Sus scrofa: one gene and its partner. The protein of the gene in region 1 binds, or shares a complex with, the protein of each later gene. Links are inferred from orthologs where the notes say so. Each region holds a gene or a part of one and is shown in the gene's direction. Other genes may lie near its edges.

Region 1 (4,480 bases):
TCCTTCTTTCTTTCTTTCTTTCTTTCTTTCTTCTCTCTCTCTTTCTCTCTCTCTCTTCCTTCCTTCCTTTCTTTTTTCGCTTTTTAGGGCCGCACCCATGGCATATGGGGGTTCCCAGGCTACAGGTGGAATTGGAGCTGTAGCCGCTGGCCTACACCACAGCCACAGCAATGTCAGATCTGAGTGGCATCTGTGACCTACACCACAGCTCAAGACAACCCAGGATCTGCAACCCACTGACCAAGGCCAGGGATCGAACCTGCGTCCTCATGGGTGCTAGTCAGATTCGGTTCCGCTGAGCCAGGACAGGAACTTCTCACTTAAGTTTTCATATAGATGTACTCTTAAAAAAATTTTTAATGCATTTATTGAAGTTACCTTTATATCACAGACAGCATAAGTGGTAAATCAGTATCACTTGCCATGAAGAATAAAAATCCATATTTTATTGGGCGCAAGTGTTCTTATTTAGTATTCCAGATAACCTAGCAGGTAGGTGCTTTTATTGTTAACATTCTTATAGCGAGGAAACTGAAGCCTGGAGAGGTTAATTAAGCTACAGGCCCACCCGCACAGAGCTAGAGTGGCAGAGCTGGAGTTCGTATCTCTTCCCGAGAGCTTCACGCTCTTTCAGATTGGCGATAACTAAAAAATAAAGACAATGAAAATTCAAGTGGGTAGACAATTCTAACTGGATCCTGCGCTGCCTTAATGTGAGGCCCGCGCCCTGTGAAGTTAAAGGGACAAAGAAGAGCAGGTCGTGGACAGCAGACACGCACAGAAATCGACAAAACTAGGCGGATGGAGGGGACTGCGAGGGGGGTACCGGCCAGATAGGCTTCGCGGTGATCCCTCGCCCGATGCCCAGCTCTATGCCCACGGGCGCCGAGGCACCTGCGGGAAGGGCGGGGAATCGAGACTCCTTCCCCGCCGCGCCCTCTCCGCCCTCTCCCCGCCTCCTTCCCGGGCGTCCTGAGGCTGCCCCCCCACTCGACGGCCGCGACCCCGAAGGCTGAGCCACCCCAGAACCAAGGCCCCCCCGCGACGGCGGAAGCGCCCGCGGGCCTCTCACAAGGAAAATTAGTCGAGAGCCGCCCCCGGCCGGGCCGAGGCCCTTAGGGCTTCCCGGAAGCTCGGTGAGCGGGTGGCACCACGGTGCCCCAGAGCCGCCGCGGAGCCCAGGCTTCCCCACCTCGTAGGGAGAGCGGCAGAGGCTACGCGACGACCCAGGTGAGCGCGGCGGCAGGTCGGCGGTGGTGAGGGATGCCCACTGATCCCTGGTGCGGGGACGGGCTGGGCCTCGAACCTGGGGCTCTGATTCTCTGCGGCTCCTACCACGAGTTTGGGAGCGCCGAGCGCTGCGGTCATTGGCCCCGTCGCAAAGACCGCTGTGGTCGCCGCGCTGAGGCTGCGCAGCTGGGCGACAGCTAGCGTGGGCGGGGTGGGGTGGGGAGCGGCCCCTCCGCTGTCCCCGCCGCTCGAGGAGGCCGGGGGCCGCCGGGACTTTTATTCTGACACGGCCGGCGCCCGGCTCTGCTTAGTCATGGTGACCTGCGCGCGTTCCGCACCTCCCCCCTGCACGCTGCGATGGAGGCGCCTGGGCCTGGGCGACGGAGGCGGAGCCCGAGAGCGGCCATGGCGGGGTGAGTGAGGCGGCCTGCGCCCGGGCGGCGGGTACCGTGGGCCGTGAGTGCCCTGCGGCCGTGCCTGGGGGCCGGAGAACTGCGCGTTGCGGGCCGGTCGCCTCGGGGTTCCCGCGGCTCCGCGGAGGCCAGAAGGGTGCGGTTCGAGTCGGAGCCTTTTGTTGGACGGCGCAACTCGCGGGGTGGCCCGAGAGCGACGCAAACCGAGCCAAGGGCCCAGGGAGCGCCGCTCCGACCAAGGCCGGGGGATTCCGGGACGTTGGGGGGCTTGGTCTTCGCCCTGGGGCTGGCAGTGGAGAGGCGGCGGCGGGGTCACTTCCTCCCTTTTCCAGGCCTTGGCAGCTCAGGCAGGACATGCGCAGTCTCCCACTTACCGCTTCATGGGGGTGGCGGGGGAGTGCCCAGGGCCCAGGGGGCACCGTTGGCCGATTGGCCCATGACCAAGAGGCCGGCCTGGGCCTCAGCTGGGGAGAGGCGGCCATGGCCCGGTGGAGGAGGGTGATCTGGCAGGCACACTGGAGTGGGCAGTCAGCCAGCCATAGCTCATTGACCCCTGCACGGTGCCAGATCCCAGGCAGAGAGGCACAGGAGAGGATGGGCACAGCCCTGACCTACACAGGGCTACCTGTCCTCAGAAACCTGGGGGCTCAGGGCCAGACGGATGGGCCATCCTTCAAGGAGGAAGCAAAGGAGCTCATTTCAATTCTTGACAAGTGCTGTGATGGAAATAAAGCAGGGAGGAGGTGACTGAGTTGAGCCCAGGGAAAGATGAGTTAGAGAAACTTGGGGAGCCTCTTGCAGATTCCCTCCTCCCTGAAGGACTTTTCAAAACACAGCTCCTGCCCTGGCTGTCGAGTCTCCACAGGTTTCTTGGAAACCCTTCAATAGTCATTATGCTCATTATACTCCTTACCGATTTTTCAGATTGCCTGTCATTCTGCCTCTGAGCCTTTGCACTTGCTCTCTCTCTGCCTAGAAAACTCTCATCCCACCCCCACCTCCTTCATATGTTCACCCCTCTTGTCTCAGCACCAACAGAGGCCTGGAATACCTGAGTTAAAGTAACTGCCCTCAAGTCACACTATCACAATGTGCTGTCATTTCCTTCAAAGCCTCAATTTTTGCTCAAGTCTTGCTTATTTTACTTATGGCTCCTCCATTCCCAAGTGTCAGCTCTAAGGGAGCACAGTGTATGTCAGTCTTACTCACTGCTGTGTCCCTGGTGTCTAGAACTGTGCCTGGTAGTGGTCCACAGTAGATGCTCAATAAATGTTGGTGAGGTGAATGAAGGAAGGAGATGGATATGCCCTAGGAAGGGAAGGACCATCAGATAACTGGAACAGAATGAGCAAAGGGGACAGGTGGACAGGAGCTGATTGTGAAGGGCTTTGCCAGCCATTGAAGAGTTTGGTTTTACTCTGTGCCACAGGGCTTGGCGGGGGGCAGTGTGGGGGGGATTCTGGCAGGGGAGGGACATCATCTGACCTATGATATAAGGTGGACCCTTGGGCTGGTGAGGCCATTGGGCAGTTAGCACAGATGGACACTGCTTCACCTGGGCTTGGGAAGGAAAACTGGTCTAGGAGTTGCTTTATTTTAGAAAAGGCTTGGCCCCAGGCCCTGCCCGCAGCCCTGTGCTCTCCCTCCTCCAGGCCTCTGAGTGCCAGTGGTGGTGTTGTCCCTTGTCATCTGGAACCCCATGCAACCGGAACCCAGGCCTAGTGGGGCTGGGGCACACACCCAATTTCTGCCCCTGAGGTCACAGCGCCCCGAAGGGGCAGGGGACACGGTGATGTACGCCTCCACGGAGTGCAAGGCTGAGGTGACCCCCTCGCAGCACGGCAACCGCACCTTTAGCTACACGCTGGAGGACCACACCAAGCAAGCCTTTGGCATCATGAATGAACTGCGGCTCAGCCAACAGCTATGCGATGTTACGCTGCAGGTCAAGTACGAGGATGCACCAGCTGCCCAGTTCATGGCCCACAAGGTGGTGCTGGCTTCATCCAGCCCTGTCTTCAAGGCTATGTTCACCAACGGGCTGCGGGAGCAGGGCATGGAGGTAGTGTCCATTGAGGGGATCCACCCTAAGGTCATGGAGCGCCTCATCGAGTTCGCTTACACGGCCTCCATCTCCATGGGTGAGAAGTGTGTGCTCCATGTCATGAATGGTGCTGTCATGTACCAGATTGACAGTGTGGTCCGTGCCTGCAGCGACTTCCTGGTGCAGCAGCTGGACCCCAGCAATGCCATTGGCATTGCCAACTTCGCCGAGCAGATTGGCTGTGCCGAGCTACACCAGCGTGCCCGAGAGTACATCTACATGCACTTTGGGGAGGTGAGTGAGGGCAATTGACATGGATCCAGGGCTTGGGAGCAGTGTCTGAAGAACCAAGGACAGATGGGAGCTCATTTCTTTTTGAGATGTGAAAGGTCAAGGCAAGGAGCTGGAGAAAAATGGGGTTCTGAATTCTTATTCTACACATCTTGGGCAACTCTGGGGAACAGCTCAAGAAAGTGAGGCCTTCATAGGTCCCTGGGCTCCTGGTTTCTCTGGGGTCAAAGGTGGGGACAGGGTGCAGTGAGTACGTTGGCATTTCCACACTGGGGTGCACTGAGTAGGGCCCGACATTTCAGGCCGTCAGCAAATATTTATTGAACACCCATGATGTGCTGTAGACCGCAAGTGTGACCCTTAGACATGTTTTCTTTGGTCCACATAGTGTTGTTCTTACACTATTCTTTGTTTCGTTTTCATTTTTAAGTGGAGGAAGTTGTGAACAGAAAAAATAAGTGCTTATCGAGCACTTACTGTGGACCAGCCTCTGTTCTAAGTG
Region 2 (3,811 bases), on another chromosome or scaffold:
GGAAGGAGCATGAGCTGGAAAAACAGAGAAAACTTGAGAAGGAAAGACAAGAACAACTCCAAAAGGAGCAAGAGAAAGCCTTTTTCGCTCAGTTACAACTAGATGAAGAGACAGGCGAATTCCTCCCAATTCAGCCAGCACAACACATCCCGTCAGAAACCAGTGGATCTGCCGACTATTCCCAGGTACAGGGTACTTGGTTCTTGGGAAGGTGCATGGCAGGGTTTAAAGAACAAATAGCGACTCAGGAGTTAAAACATCTGAATTTGAGTTCCAGCTTTGCCTTTTACTGTTAACAACCTTAATAAGTCAACTTCCCAACCTTGGCCTCCTGATGAAGTTCAAGCCTTGACTGACCTACCTCAGAGTATAAGGATTAGGACATAAATTACATGAAGAGAGATTTATAAACTGTAAAAACATCACGTAATTTGAACATTTGAGATATTGAAACATTTAATCAACACAGTATATGAATTAATTGCCATTATCCTACTTTATCTACAGATGAGCAATCGGAGCTCAAAGAGGTTAAATGACCTGCCCAGAAATTGGGGGAGCCAAGATTTGAAACCAAATAGTCTGGTTTGATTGTCTGCTCTTTATTAAAATGACTTTTGCAATAAGAGAAATGTCTGATTAACTAGACTGTAAACATTGTATGAACACTGAACAATTTTTTCTTCCTGTATATCTTTCCCTTTTATGCAGGTAGCCCACATTCCCAAACCAGATGCTTTGTATTTTGTTGACTGCATGCAGCTTTTGGCAGAGACATTCCCATTTGTAGATGACAATGAGGTATTAACATTTGGTTAACAGCAAATCTTCACACCTTATATATCCTATATTGATCCCTTTGATATGTCTTCATGAATGAAAAACAGTATTTTAGGAGCAAATTTTATCATGGAAACTTTGGCCTATAGGTAACTTTACAATTGGGGAAAAAACAAAAACAAAAACCACATAGTACAAAAAACGTTTACTCCTGCATAGCCAGAAGCATGGATCAGCAGAAACATTTGTTATAGTACTTAAAAATAAATTCCCATGTGTAAAAAGCAAGCTTACCAGGTAGTAAACCAAGACTTGTTCAATTAAGTTTTAATAAATTTATTGTTTAAACACTATACTAGGTATTACATAGAAAAATACACATTAAATTCTAAAGACTGTTCTTTTTTGAAGTTTATCTTCAGTGTACAGGATAAAGCCATTAAGCTAGTAAAATGAGTAAATCTGGAGTCAGTTGGACAAGGAAAAAAATGTGTTTCATTATCTAGAAATAGAAGTCACCATTATTAGGGAGTTCCCTTTGTGGCTTAGTGGTTTAAGAACCTGATATAATCTCCATGGGGATGTGGGTTTGGTCCCTGGCCTTGGCCAGTGGGTTAAGGATTTTGCCTTGCTGCAACAGTGTAGGTGTCAGATGTGGCTGGGATCCTGTGTTGCTGTGGCTATGTAGGCTGGCAGCAGTGGCTCCACTTTGACCCCTAGTCTGGGAACTTCCATATGCTGCAGGTGTGGCCATAAAATGGTAAAATAAAACAGTCACCATTATTAGTAGATAAATATCGAACTGTAGCCTATTCCAGTTTAAGATGGGATACCCATTTTGCTGGGTGGCAGATTCATGTAGATAAATGCCTTCTCAATTTTAGGTTTCTTCGGCTACATTTCAATCACTTGTTCCTGATATTCCCAGTCACGTCGAAAGCCCAGTCTTCATTGCTCCTAACCAGGCTCAGTCCCCTGAAACTCTTGTCAGTCAGTTAGCCACTACTGAGGTAGACGACATGCAACAGGATATTGAGCAAGTTTGGGAGGAGCTATTATCCATTCCAGAATTACAGGTAACTAAGATCTAACATAATAAATACCAAAGATGCTATTTTATATTTAGTCCCTTCAGTAATCCCAGTTATTTATATACTGCCTACTTAAATGAAGGATTAGAGTGAGCTTTTAGTCCTGAGAGCTGCCTATGCTCACTTCAGTGAACTTTTGTTAGTTCAATGGACTGGTATCTTGAGGACAAATAAAGTTACAGACCTGAAGTCTGGGAGTTCCTGTTGTGGCTCAGCAGTAACGAACCCAAAAGGTATCCATGAGAATGTGGGTTCAATCCCTGGCCATGACCAGTGGGTTAAGGATCCGATGTTTCCATGAACTGTGGTGTAGGTCGCAGTCGAGGCTCAGATCCCATGTAGCTGTAGCTGTGGCATAGGCTGGCAGCTGCAGCTCCAGTTGGACCCCTAGCCTGGGAACTTCCATGTGCCACAGGTGAGGCCCTAAAAAAGCAAAAGTAATTAATTAACCTGAAGTCTGATCTGGGAACTCTGAAAATACATATGCTTAGGCACAAACATCTGTTGGAAATGGGAATTATTTCTGAATTACAGAGAAGTTTGGAGACAATATAGGTGGGGGGTTTTCCATTGGGTATGGATTATCAGCTATTAAAAATATTTAACCTTGATTTACGTAGTGTAAACTTCTTTTCCACACAGTGTCTTAATATTCAAAATGACAACCTTGCTGAGACTAGCACGGTTCCAAGTCCAGAAACCAAACCGACAGAAATTGACAACTATCATTTCTATTCACCAAATCCCTCACTGGAAAAAGAAGTAGGTAACTGCAGTCCACATTTTCTCAGCGCTTTCGAGGATTCCTTCAGCAGCATCCTCTCCACAGAAGACTCAAGCCAGATGACAGTGAACTCATTAAATTCATACGCAACAGGAAACACAGATTTTGGTGATGAATTTTATTCTGCTTTCATAGCAGAGCCCAGTACCAGCAACAGCATGCCCTCCTCTGCTACTTTAAGCCAGTCACTGTCTGAACTTCTGTATGGGCCCATTGATCTCTCTGATCTATCTCTTTGTAAAGCCTTCAACCAAGACCACCGTGAAAGCACAACAGCAGAATTCAATGATTCTGACTCTGGCATTTCACTAAACCCAAGTCCCAGCATGGCATCACCAGAACACTCAGTGGAATCTTCTATCTATGGAGACACACTGCTTGGCTTCAGTGATTCTGAAATGGAAGAGTTAGATAGTGCCCCTGGAAGCGTTAAACAAAATAGTCCTAAAACACAGCCTGTACAACCTTCTGGGGATACAGTCCAACCCCTGTCACCACCTCAGGGTAATAGTGCTCCAGTGTGTGATGCCCAGTCTGAAAACACACCAAAGAAAGAAGTGCCTATAAGTCCCGGTCATCGAAAAACCCCATTCACAAAAGACAAACATTCAAGCCGCTTGGAGGCTCATCTCACAAGAGATGAGCTAAGGGCAAAAGCTCTGCATATCCCATTCCCTGTAGAAAAAATTATTAACCTCCCAGTTGATGACTTCAATGAAATGATGTCCAAGGAGCAATTCAATGAGGCTCAGCTTGCATTAATTCGAGATATACGTAGGAGGGGTAAGAATAAAGTGGCTGCTCAAAATTGCAGAAAAAGAAAACTGGAAAACATAGTGGAACTGGAGCAAGATTTAGATCATTTAAAAGATGAAAAAGAAAAATTGCTCAAAGAAAAAGGAGAAAACGACAAAAGTCTCCATCTACTGAAAAAACAACTCAGCACCTTGTACCTTGAAGTCTTCAGTATGTTACGTGATGAAGATGGAAAGCCTTACTCTCCAAGTGAGTACTCCCTGCAGCAAACAAGAGATGGCAATGTATTCCTTGTTCCCAAAAGTAAGAAGCCAGATGTGAAGAAAAACTAGATTTGGGCATATCTGACCTTTTCTGAGCTAGTGGATTTTTTTTTTTTAATACTAAAAGCTCCTACTGT

The links.
Region 2: the proteins of KEAP1 (region 1) and NFE2L2 are in contact, whole or in part, in a crystal structure (PDB 3WN7), measured with the Mus musculus proteins. The link is inferred for Sus scrofa from reciprocal best matches to the Homo sapiens genes KEAP1 and NFE2L2. Residues at the interface, in NP_001103775.1 of Mus musculus: Tyr334, Ser363, Gly364, Arg380, Asn382, Pro384, Asp385, Gly386, Asn387, Asn414, Arg415, Ser431, Gly433, Cys434, His436, Ile461, Phe478, Gly480, Arg483, Ser508, Gly509, Tyr525, Gln530, Ser555, Ala556, Tyr572, Phe577, Ser602, Gly603; in NP_035032.1 of Mus musculus: Leu19, Ile22, Leu23, Arg25, Gln26, Asp27, Ile28, Asp29, Leu30, Gly31, Val32, Val36, Phe37, Phe39.

Annotation. Positions count from the first base shown.
Region 1 is NC_010444.4:69,286,562-69,291,041, reverse strand, and holds the start of KEAP1 (kelch-like ECH-associated protein 1), read left to right. Parts: upstream 1-1,532; 5' UTR 1,533-1,643; intron 1,644-1,649; exon of another isoform or gene 1,650-1,779; intron 1,780-3,295; 5' UTR 3,296-3,342; coding exon 3,343-3,981; intron 3,982-4,480. UniProt on the Homo sapiens protein: Substrate-specific adapter of a BCR (BTB-CUL3-RBX1) E3 ubiquitin ligase complex that regulates the response to oxidative stress by targeting NFE2L2/NRF2 for ubiquitination.
Region 2 is NC_010457.5:82,974,063-82,977,873, reverse strand, and holds part of NFE2L2 (nuclear factor erythroid 2-related factor 2), read left to right. Parts: coding exon 1-185; intron 186-711; coding exon 712-801; intron 802-1,664; coding exon 1,665-1,856; intron 1,857-2,513; coding exon 2,514-3,743; 3' UTR 3,744-3,811.